Struthio camelus: one gene and its partners. The protein of the gene in region 1 purifies or fractionates together with the protein of each later gene. This does not show direct contact. Links are inferred from orthologs where the notes say so. Each region holds a gene or a part of one and is shown in the gene's direction. Other genes may lie near its edges.

The links.
Region 2: the proteins of LRRK2 (region 1) and ACTG1 purify together in Homo sapiens (affinity purification with mass spectrometry; 3 studies listed by BioGRID and IntAct, with this or other methods). This does not show direct contact. The link is inferred for Struthio camelus from reciprocal best matches to the Homo sapiens genes LRRK2 and ACTG1.
Region 3: the proteins of LRRK2 (region 1) and SLC25A5 purify together in Homo sapiens (co-immunoprecipitation; 3 studies listed by IntAct, with this or other methods). This does not show direct contact. The link is inferred for Struthio camelus from reciprocal best matches to the Homo sapiens genes LRRK2 and SLC25A5.

Annotation. Positions count from the first base shown.
Region 1 is NC_090942.1:16,688,095-16,691,837, reverse strand, and holds the start of LRRK2 (leucine-rich repeat serine/threonine-protein kinase 2), read left to right. Parts: upstream 1-1,192; 5' UTR 1,193-1,292; coding exon 1,293-1,461; intron 1,462-1,546; coding exon 1,547-1,632; intron 1,633-3,743. UniProt on the Homo sapiens protein: Serine/threonine-protein kinase which phosphorylates a broad range of proteins involved in multiple processes such as neuronal plasticity, innate immunity, autophagy, and vesicle trafficking.
Region 2 is NC_090960.1:1,595,244-1,598,986, reverse strand, and holds the start of ACTG1 (actin, cytoplasmic 2), read left to right. Parts: upstream 1-1,608; 5' UTR 1,609-1,763; intron 1,764-2,435; 5' UTR 2,436-2,445; coding exon 2,446-2,568; intron 2,569-2,652; coding exon 2,653-2,892; intron 2,893-3,174; coding exon 3,175-3,613; intron 3,614-3,743. UniProt on the Homo sapiens protein: Actins are highly conserved proteins that are involved in various types of cell motility and are ubiquitously expressed in all eukaryotic cells.
Region 3 is NC_090952.1:12,063,001-12,066,743, reverse strand, and holds SLC25A5 (ADP/ATP translocase 2), read left to right. Parts: upstream 1-1,090; 5' UTR 1,091-1,267; coding exon 1,268-1,378; intron 1,379-1,492; coding exon 1,493-1,979; intron 1,980-2,097; coding exon 2,098-2,238; intron 2,239-2,852; coding exon 2,853-3,010; 3' UTR 3,011-3,247; downstream 3,248-3,743.

The DNA of each region.
Region 1 (3,743 bases):
GCCCAAGTTTTTCAGGACCAAAACGCCAACAGACCAGAGACAGTTTAGCCAGCGCTACGTGGGTTCTGAAGCGTTACTCAGAGTGCTCAGTTCTGCTTCTTAAGAAGAGTCTGTTTTAAGAAACTCAAGCCAATCACCTAAGTCAGGTGTTCAATAAACACGATGCATATCTATCCACAAGGCATGAAAACCTAAGCAAGAGCTTCAAATAGATCCATACTCCTACCATCATCCTCCAAAAGGTCAAACGTTTATCTAACAAAATCCAGTTTAACTAGATAATTTACTTTATTAACTAACACTTTTCTTTGAAAAGCAGCAAGAGGTACCAGAAATATTGTCAGATTACAGGAAGATTGCATCAATCACAAATGAAGCAACACATGCACAAGGCAAGAGAGCCTTGTCTCAGGAAGGCCCACCGTTGCAAAGCTTAGAGTGAAATTTAACTTCTAAATGCAACACCACTTTTTTTTTTTTTTAACCAAACCTGTGGACCTAATTGAGGCCATCAGGCCAAACCACTCAGGAGGGCAGAGCACACACTGCCCTCCACCACGGTCAACTTGAACCACTGAGGCCCTCTGCTCTCATCTCAGCCACCACACAGCCGACTTAACCTCTCAAGGAAGGGGAGGAGCCCCCTCGCTGCCCCCCCAGGCCCTCGCTGACAGCCCAGCCACAGGAGGGGACACGCAACCCCCCTGCACCTCCCCAGGCAAGGCGGACCTCACCAGCTCAGGACCTGTCCTACCCTCCCAGAGGGGACAGACACACAGCCTACACACGCTCCCCCTTTCCCTTCCCTACAGACTACAGCACCCCGCCCCCAGACCTATTTTCCTCTAATACACTCAGATGAGGAACCCTCAGCCCCTCACGCCGCCCTATATCGTAAACGGGGGCGAAGGGGCGGAGCCGAGGCCTCCCCTCTGCCACTCTATTGGAGAATGGGGCTGTCGCTCACTGGAACCGGGCCCGCCGCCTGGGGCTGTTGCCAAGCCGCCGCGGGCGCCCCCTGGGGGCGGCGGGGATCCCCGCCCGCCCGCCCGCGCGGGTTTGGCAGCGCGCCGCGCCGGTCACGGCCCCGGGAGGAGCGGGGCGGAGCGCAGCGCAGCGCAGCGGAGTGGGGAGCGGCCGCCGCGGAGGCTCGGAGCAGCTGGGTGACGCCGGCCGGGCGGCGCTGCGAGCGCGGCGCAGCGTGGCGACGGGCGGCCCCAGCCCTGCTCCCTTGGGCCGCGGCGGCCCGCGCGTGGGGTGAGCCGCGGCCGAGGAGGGGCAGCGGGGCGGCCATGGCCAGCGCCAGCCCTGAGGAGAGGGAGGCGGCGGCGGCGGCGGCGAGGGAGGAACAAGCCCTGAGCAAGCTGGTGGTGCGGCTCCAAAACGTGCAGGAGAGGAAGCGGCTGGAGACGCTGGTGCAGACCCTGAGCGACCTGCTGGAGCTGGCGGCCCGGCAGAGCGGTAAGGCGCGGCGGGCCGCGCTGCCCCCCCCCGCCCGGCGGCGGCGGGCGCTAACGCGGCCTCTCTGCCTCCCCCCTCTCCGCAGCCCCGAAACTCTTCAACGGCAGAAACGTCCACGTGCCGGTGCTGGTGGTGGCCGACCTGTACGCGGGAGCGGCGGGCGTGCAGCAGGTAACCGCCGGGCCGGGAGGGGAGGGGAGGGGAAGGGGCCGCCGCCGCCGCCGCGGCCCGGCCCGGAGTGAGGCGTGAGGCGGGGACGGGGCGGCCCTCGCCGGCCGGGGACGGGGCCGGGGCCCGGCCGCCGCCGCCCTCCACAAGGGCGAAGTCGGGAGAGGAAACGGCGGATTAAAGCGCCTCTGGGCCACCCCGGTGCTCTCCGGCTAAGCCGAGCCTCTCCGTCCTTTCCTGGAAGAAAAATTACTGCTTGGCTCTTTCTTTCCCGTTTTCTTAATTTTCGTATGTTTGAGAAGGCGACCCTCGGAAGGCTGTTGGTCTGCAGAAGGACGCGGTGTCTGCTTGCTTTTAAAAGGGATGGCTCTTCCAGCTCGTCGCTGGTGCTGCTTAAGCAATAAAAGGAGGTAGCGTAGAAAATAGAAGTCAAGCAACGCGAATACGGTATTGCATAGGTTCTGCGTTACAAATAACGTTATCTAGCGCGTTCTCGACCTGATGGTATTACCCTTTGCCGAGGTTGAACTGACTTTTGAAAAGTGGAATGATACAATACGAATCCAGACATCTGTAGCCCTATCCTACAAGAGAGTTGTACCAGCCGCTGATTTTTTAGGAGAGGAAAATTCTTCTTTTAGCTAAGAAGAGGTTCTGCAGTCTATGGTCGTGCTTGGCTTTTGCCCTCCCTTGACATTGGCCCAGTTGGATTAGGTGTGGCACATCTGCAATTTGATGTTGTACTTGCAGTGCAGTTGCCAGATTTGTCATATGAAACAACTCCTTCTTGGCAGGCATATATTAAATTTACGACTGTGTTATTCCCAAAGGACGTTCATAAATTGTAGATGTCTGTGCAATGCGTTCGCTTTTTTGTTAAAAAAAAATTGTATGATTGCAACATTTCTGGCATCTTTTTTTTTCTATTCACTAGAAAGCAAACCATAAATGATGTCATAAAAGCGGCTTAAATAATGGTACTATTTAAGAGCACGTTTCTTAAGCTACTAGACCTTAGCCAGAGGTCACAAATATACAATTCAGATTAAAATGTGAAACTGTACTCCTGCCTGTGATGTGTAATGTTTACAGTGGCAATAACAATCCTCTCAAGCATATTGCCTCTCGAGCAATATGCTCTAGAGGTCCCTGCTTGAGCAGGGAGGTTGGACTAGATGATCTCCAGAGGTCCCTTCCAACCTAAACGATTCTGTGATTCTGTGATTCTTTTGAACACTAAAATATCTGTGCAGAATTTGAAGTTTTAACTTATTTTACTATTCAATTGTTGGGTCATTAAGAAATACAGAAGGATTCCTCATCAATTACTTTGGGGATAAAACATATTATGTATGTAACAGTTTACAAAATTAACGTCCAGAAGTTTGGACTAGGAAGTACAAAATACGAAATCCAGTAACAACCAGGAGTAGGTCTGAAATGACTTTGTGGAATGCTTAGACGTGCATAAGGAAGATAGAGATCATTTAATTTTCATTTTAGCTATGCTAACACTCCTCTTACATGATTTAATGCAGAATTTTAAAACAAATTTTAATCTTCACTCTGCCTGCCTTTGCAATCTCACAGTGCTTCAGTTCAGAAGTTTCGGAGCACTTTTATGTTACTACATTGTATATGAGTGTCAGATTCATAGCCAGGGCAAAGCTCAAATCCTGTTACTCATAAAATGCCGTGGGCAGCTATTCCTTCACTTTCTGTTACGATATTTACAACAGTAAATCCCACAGTATAGGAGTGGAACTCTATCTTCCTTGCTTCATCCACTGTGATTCATTTGCAGTCCTTATGAATACACAAATCTCACTTCAGGCACTGAGGGAGTCATGTAGTCTGCATTTCAGTGCAGTCCCTTTATACTACTAAATAATTTTTGTTGAACAAATTGGATAATCAGCCAGTAGCCTCTTTTGCTTTTGGCATTGTAATAAAATTGATTCGTATAAGCGAGTCAACGCAGTAAGAGCTCTATCTGAAGTGAGGATTGTCTTTTCCTCTTCTGCTTAGCTGGTTACAAAGCATCTCGTGCTGCTGTTCCACTGAGTAAATTTGCTGCATAGATCAATATTGCAGGTATCAGTGCAAGTCGAACT
Region 2 (3,743 bases), on another chromosome or scaffold:
GTGCTTCGGGGCGTCCCGTGCTGGCCGTGCCCGACGCCGGGCGCCGAGCGGAGCCTGCGCCACGCGGGGGGCTCTCGCAGGACGCACCGCGCCACGCACGCCGGGTGCCACCTGCCCACCCGTGGGGCGCTCGGAGCTGATGGCAAAGCGGTGCCGGCCCCGGGGCGCTGTCTGTGGGGTGCACGGCACTGTCCGTGGGGTGCTCGGCATTGTCCATGGGGTGCTCGGCGCTGTCCGTGGGGTGCTCGGCATTGTCCGTGGGGTGCTCGGCATTGTCCATAGGGTGCAGGATGCTGTCTGTGTGCAGCGCTGCCAGAGGGTGCATGGGGCTGCCGACGGGGCGGTGCTGCCTGGAGGGTGCACGGCACCATCTGAGGGTGCACAGCGCTCTCTGTGGGGTGCTCGGTGCTATTTGTGGGGTGCAGGGTGCTGCCTGAGGGGTGCACAGTGCTTCCTGAGGGGTGCGCAGTGCCGCTGCACAAGGGGTGGTGCAGCGTGAAGGGGGCACGGCGCTGTCTGCGGGGTGCACGGTGCTGCCCGCGGGGCGGTGCTGCGAGCAGGGTGCCCGGCGCTGTCCGAGGGGCGCGCAGCCCCGTCTCTGGGCGCCCGGCGTTCCCTGAGGTGCGCGCGTCAGGGTGCCTGGCACGGCCTGTGGGGTGCCTGGTGCTGTGCGAGGGGGGCACAGGCCTTCCGAGGGGGATACAGTGCTGCCGACGGGGCGGTGCTCGTGCGGGGCGCATGGTGCTGCACAAGGGCGCTGTCGGGGGGGTGCACAGCTGCCCCGGGGGGTGCACAGTGCCATCTTTGGGGTGCACGGTGCTGTCTAGGGGGTACACGGTGCTGCCCCAGGGGGTGCATGGTGCTTTCTGAGGGGGTGCCAGCTGCCCCAGCGGCACGGTGCACAGTGCTGTCTAGGGGGTGCACGGTGCTGTTGAGGGGGTGCACAGCTGCCCCAAGGGGTGCACGGTGCTATCTTTGGGTGCACGGTGCTGTCGGGAGGTGCACTGATGCCACAGGGGGTGCATGGTGCTGTCGAGGGGGGCGCACGGTGCTATCTGGGGGTGGACAGCTGTTGCAGGGGGTGCTGTCAGGGGGTGCACGGTGCTGTCGGGGGTGCACAGTGCTGTCGGGGAGGGGGTTCACGGCACTGTCGGGGGGTGAACAGCTGCCCCACGGGGTGCACGGTGCTGTCGGGGGGGGGGTGCACGGTGCTGTCAGAGGGTGCACAGCTGCCCCGGGGGGTGCACGGTGCAATCTTTGGGGTGCACAGGGCTGTCAGGGGGTGCACAGCTGCCCCGGGGGGTGCACGGCGCTGTCGGGGGGGTGCACGGCGCTGTCGGGGGGTGCCGGCTGCCCGCGGGCGTGCCCGGGGCGCCCCTGGCTGGCGGGGCCGGGCCGGGCGCGGGGCGGCGCCGGCGGCGGGAGGGTGCCCGGCGCTGGCGGCCGGCGCGGGGCGCTGCCGGGGCCGGGGTCGCCGCCCCCCCCCCCCCCCGGCCTCTGCGCCCCATGCAGGTTCCGGGGTGCTGCGGGGCGGGGGCAGGCCGGCAGCCGCCCCACGTGGCCGGGGCCGCGCCAGCCAATGGGAGCGCGTGTTTCTGAAAGATCTCCATATATGGCGATCTTCTCGGCCGGCGGGGCGGGGTCATCGCCCCCTGGGTATAAAAGCGTGGGGCTGGGAGCTGGACGGTCTCACTCAGCCGGCGGCAGCAGACCAGGCGGTATCGTCTCCCTTCCCCGCACCGCGAGAAGCCTCCTCCGCACAGGTACCGGCCGGCCCGGCCCGGCCCGAGCCCCCCGCCGCCCTCGGGGCCGGTGGCCGTTAGCCGTTAGGGCGTGGCTCGCGCCCCTCTTGGGCCGCGCCACTGAGGTCCCCGGGGGGGAGGGGGCGGGGGGGGTTTGCAACGTGCCGCTCCCGGCTGGCTCGTGGGGTGGGTTGTGCCCGCCCTGGTGTTCTCCCACCCCTCCCCCCACCGGAGTGGTCTCGCCCGTTTGAATGGGAGCCGGGCCGTTGGGAAGGGAGGGGGGAGGGGGAAGAACGCGCGAGCCGGAGGAGGGTGGGGCGCGATTGGCCGCGGAGGCGGGTGACGTCAGGGCGCGGGAGATTCAAACCGCGGGGCGGGCGCGGGGCTGCCGCGCTGGGGCGGCGCGGCCCGGCCCGGCCCGGCCCGGCGGGGGCCCCCCGGGGAGCCGCCCCGCCGCAGGGCGGCGGCCGCCTGGCGCCGTGCCGTGCGGGAGCCGGCCCTCCCCTCCTGGCCGCGCTGCGGGACCCCCCTGCCCGCCCCCCCCCGAGCTTCGGGCTGGCCCGCTGCCAGCGCGGCCTCCCGGGGCCGCGGCCCCCAGCCGGTGCAGGGTGCGGGCGTGACGTGGCGCTGGGCACGGCAGGGCTGGGTTGCTGAGCGAGGGCTCTGTCTCTTCCTCCCCCCCCCCGACATCAGATCCTTCAAAATGGAAGAAGAAATTGCAGCGCTCGTCATCGACAATGGCTCCGGCATGTGCAAAGCTGGCTTTGCAGGGGACGATGCTCCCCGTGCTGTGTTCCCCTCCATTGTTGGGCGCCCCCGACACCAGGTAAGCTGGGAGGGCCCTGCCCGGAGTGGGTGTGCCTGGGGCGGTGCTGCAGTGCGCGGAGCTGACTCATGCGTCCCTTCCTAGGGCGTCATGGTGGGCATGGGGCAGAAGGACAGCTACGTAGGTGATGAGGCCCAGAGCAAGAGAGGAATCCTCACCCTGAAGTACCCCATTGAGCACGGTATTGTCACTAACTGGGACGACATGGAGAAAATTTGGCATCACACCTTCTACAATGAGCTCCGTGTGGCTCCCGAGGAGCACCCTGTCCTGCTCACAGAGGCTCCTCTGAACCCCAAGGCCAACAGAGAGAAGATGACACAGGTACGCTTCCTTGGGCAGCAGCCGCCGCTTACCTCCATCTTCACAAACCCTCTTTTGTTATGGCATCTTAAACCTGAGTTTTTTTTCTCCCAATGTTTTCAGGGTTCTCTACTCCTGGCATTTCCTCCTTGACGTCTCAGGTTTCTTTCATTTGTGTTTTCTGCCTGCGTTCTTTGCTTTTCTTTCACACATCAGTTTTTGCATGTCAACATGCATGTTCTAACACAGGTGTGAGTGACCCAGCTTGTTGTTCCATGCTGAACTGTTTCTTCTTTCTTCCAGATCATGTTTGAGACCTTCAACACCCCAGCCATGTACGTTGCCATCCAGGCTGTGCTGTCCCTGTATGCCTCTGGCCGTACCACTGGTATCGTTATGGACTCTGGGGATGGTGTCACCCATACTGTGCCCATCTACGAGGGGTATGCTCTGCCCCATGCCATCCTGCGCCTGGACTTGGCTGGCCGTGACCTGACAGACTACCTCATGAAGATCCTGACAGAAAGAGGCTACAGCTTCACTACAACAGCTGAAAGGGAGATTGTCCGTGACATAAAGGAAAAGCTGTGCTATGTCGCCCTGGACTTCGAGCAGGAGATGGCCACTGCTGCCTCTTCCTCCTCCCTGGAGAAGAGCTATGAGCTGCCTGATGGTCAGGTGATCACCATTGGCAATGAGCGGTTCAGGTGTCCGGAAGCCCTCTTCCAGCCATCCTTCCTGGGTAGGTATGGGCCAGAGCCGCCCTGAGAGACCGGTGGCACCTGGAGTGCCCCTCTGGTGTGGGAGTTTGCTCTGGCTGCATGCTGAGCTGGGGGGTTGGCATGGCTGAAATGAGGTGCTGCGTGTGTGTG
Region 3 (3,743 bases), on another chromosome or scaffold:
CTGGCTCTTTCATCAACCTGCTGTGCCTCAGTTTCCCTATCTGCAGATAATAACGCTGAGATTTATTTGGGATGTGTGAATAAGGAAACGTGACTCGGGTCACTACTGGAATGAGTTGGGAAGGAACTGATTTCTTAAAGGGTGTCCTTACCTGGTCCAAGCATATTCATGTGTTTTACTAACATTGTATTTCTGTAAAGAACTTAAAGCGTTAGTGATGGGCGCATATGAACGTTTGCTCAGCTCTTCAAAGCTGATCAGAGTTAAGTGAGTTAAAAAGTTACCTCTAACTTGTTTCTGATATGCTAATGACACCTTCTTTGTATTGTAATGTATTCCTAAGACCTATAAATCACTTATTAACCTTAACCAAGTTTCCACCTTGTGTAATGACAGCTACTCACGTGAAATCCCCCAGAGGAACAGCAGAGCATGTAAGGCAGCGCTGAAACAAAGGGCTTCAGCAACGGGTCACCGCAGTGCAAGCGTGAAGCGGTGCAAGCGGTGGCCTCCATGCGGATGGCCCGTGATGGCTCATGGAGCCATGAGCGGTGCCACCGTGAAGAGCGGTGCGATAACAACAAGGCCAAAACGCAGCGGAAGCGCGTGGGCGGGTGAGGGGTCACTGAGGGGCCTCGCCCTGCGGGGCAGGTCCTAGGTCTCATGGCGCATCTCGCGGCGGCTGAAGGCAGCAGCCCGGCGCAGTAGGCCCGAACGCTGCGGCTCCGCGGTGCCCGGAGCCCGGCGGCGGCGGCGAAGCCGGGACGTGTCGGGGCGCGGGCGCCCGGTCGGCGACGGACCCCTCCGTCACGGACGCGTTGTCTGTCGCGCCACGGCGGCTCCTGCCGAAGTCACGGCGGCGCCTTCGCCCCGCTGCGCGACCCGGAGCCCCCCCGGGGCAGAGCCGCTGCTGCCCGGCCGCGGCTGGCCCGGCGCCTCGCGTCGTCCCCCGTGGGCCGGATGCGCGTGGGCCCCCCCCGGGGGGTCCCGCTCTCCCCCTCCCCCCCCTCCACGGCGGTTGCCGGCTGCCGCCTCCCCTCCCGCCCCGCTGCGGCGGCCCCGCCCCCCCTCGCCCGCAGCCAATGGGCGGGCGGGACGCGGCGGCGCGTCGCCGGGGCGCGCCCGCGCCCACGTGGCCGCCCGCCGCCCCTATATAAGGCGGCCATTTCAGCTGCGCGCTCGCCGCCCCGCGCACCGCACCGCACCGCACCGCTCCCGGCCGCGCTCCGCTCCCGGTTCCGCTCCCGGCCCGCCGCCGCCGCCCGCCATGACCGATGCGGCCGTGTCCTTCGCCAAGGATTTCCTCGCCGGAGGGGTGGCGGCCGCCATCTCCAAGACCGCCGTCGCCCCCATCGAGAGGGTCAAGCTGCTGCTGCAGGTGAGCGGCGGGGCCCGGGGCGGCGGCGGCGGCGGGGCCTCCCCAAGGGCGCCGCAAGGAGAGGGGGGCGGCGGGCGGCGGCGGGGCCCGCGCTGACGGGCGGCCCTCCCGCAGGTGCAGCACGCCAGCAAGCAGATCGCCGCGGACAAGCAGTACAAGGGCATCATCGACTGCGTGGTGCGCATCCCGCGGGAGCAGGGCGTCCTGTCCTTCTGGCGCGGCAACCTGGCCAATGTGATCAGGTACTTCCCCACCCAGGCGCTCAACTTTGCCTTCAAAGACAAATACAAGCAGATCTTCCTGGGCGGCGTTGACAAAAGGACCCAGTTCTGGCGTTACTTTGCGGGTAACCTGGCGTCCGGGGGCGCCGCCGGCGCCACGTCCCTGTGTTTCGTCTACCCCCTTGACTTTGCCCGAACCCGCCTGGCCGCTGATGTGGGTAAAGCGGGGGCTGACCGAGAGTTCAGTGGGCTCGGTGACTGCCTGGTCAAAATCTTCCGGTCGGATGGCCTTAGGGGCCTTTACCAAGGCTTCAATGTGTCTGTCCAGGGCATCATTATCTACAGAGCTGCCTACTTTGGCATCTACGACACCGCAAAGGGTAGGTGGACTGAAATTTAGTTGAAATAGAGATGCTGGACCGCAGCAGATCTGTAGCTTATTTTGGCACGTGCTGCTGGCTCGCCTGGTGTCCCCATGCAAAACCCTCTGTCCCCTAGGCATGCTTCCTGACCCAAAGAACACCCACATCGTCATCAGCTGGATGATCGCTCAGACGGTCACTGCTGTTGCTGGCTTGACCTCCTATCCTTTCGATACGGTTCGTCGTCGCATGATGATGCAGTCCGGGCGTAAAGGAAGTAAGTTTCCATTTCCTGTGTAGGGAAGTGTTGGGCATCCTTGAAGAAACAGCTGCTCGTAGACCTCAGATGAAGGCAGAATGGTTTTGCTTTCAGCAAACCTGTAGCTACCCCCCCCCCACTTTTGCAAACAGAACAGTGTGAGAGGGGCTCCAGGAGCCTAGGTAGATGTTAGGTGGGAGGAACAGATGGATCCGTCCACTCTGAACTCCTATAACGTGGCATGCACAAGCAAGATTTCTGTGAATAGGCAATAGCAGCATAATTTGCCCAAGGATGTTGCAAACCAGTGTCTCTGGGCCAAGAAGAGATGTTCCTCATTGCAGGCATGGCCTGGCTGACTGTGCAGTGGGTGCTGGATCTGGAAGTGTTGGTGTGTAGCAAACAGTAGTTGCATCCTGCTCAAACCGGTCTTTCCAGTGTCTCCTAGGGGTGCTGCAGCTGCAGCATATCTCCTGGACAATATTGTCCTCTAATGTGATAATTCTGGAGAATGTAAGACAAGAAACAGGATTGACTTGAGGTTGTGAAGCTGGCAGATAAGTTAGGCCATTTCTCACCTCGTTTTGGGGGTCATGGGCATCAGTTTCCTAACAGTCTCTTATCTCCTGCAGCTGACATAATGTACACCGGCACGATCGACTGCTGGCGGAAGATTGCCCGCGATGAGGGTTCCAAGGCATTTTTCAAAGGTGCTTGGTCGAATGTACTCCGAGGAATGGGTGGTGCTTTTGTCCTAGTCCTGTACGACGAAATCAAGAAGTACACATAAGTTATTTCCTGTTCTGAACTGGCATGTTGTGTTATGTAATCTATGACCATTCATGGACTGTATCAAAACGGTCTAGTTACTAATCAGTGGCAACTGGTATTTATACAGGTTGGCATGGGGCAGGGGTGACTGCCTGCCCTGTCTTCATGAAGTCATTCCTCTAACGGGACTCAAACATGGTTTCTATTTCAATCGCTCCAGCTTAAAGAGTATGAAAAAATAAAAGTCTGAAACCAACTTCCCTTGTGTTGTGTGTGTTTGTTCTCCCAGCAGCTCTAGTGAGGTGGTTCTGCACAGTGATTGTGGAGAAGGTGGGATCCATCCTACATGCCTTGCTCACTGCTAGCTATGCCGGGCCTCCTGCAGGCAAATAACGCTGCCTGTCAAGAAAGCTATGTACTATTGCCTCCTAATGGAGCCTTAGCAGTAAGTGCTGGAGTCAGGACTGGCAGCTCAGATACATTTTTTTTTTTTTTTTTCTTCCCAGCTGGCCTCTCCAGAGGCCCCCCCAGTAGCAGGAGCTGATATACTGCCCATATTCCACCAGTGCCTGCTTTTGGCCTAAGTGCTCCCTTGTGCTGATGCAACCTCACCCTCCTTCAAATCACCAGCCCTCCCAGCTGAGCTAAAGGCCTGGGAGACCGGAGAGATGTCTAAGGAGTATTTGCCGTCCTCTGGAAGAGCAAGGAGATAGGATCATGTGCTCTGGCCCAGAATGCAAGCTACCTACTCA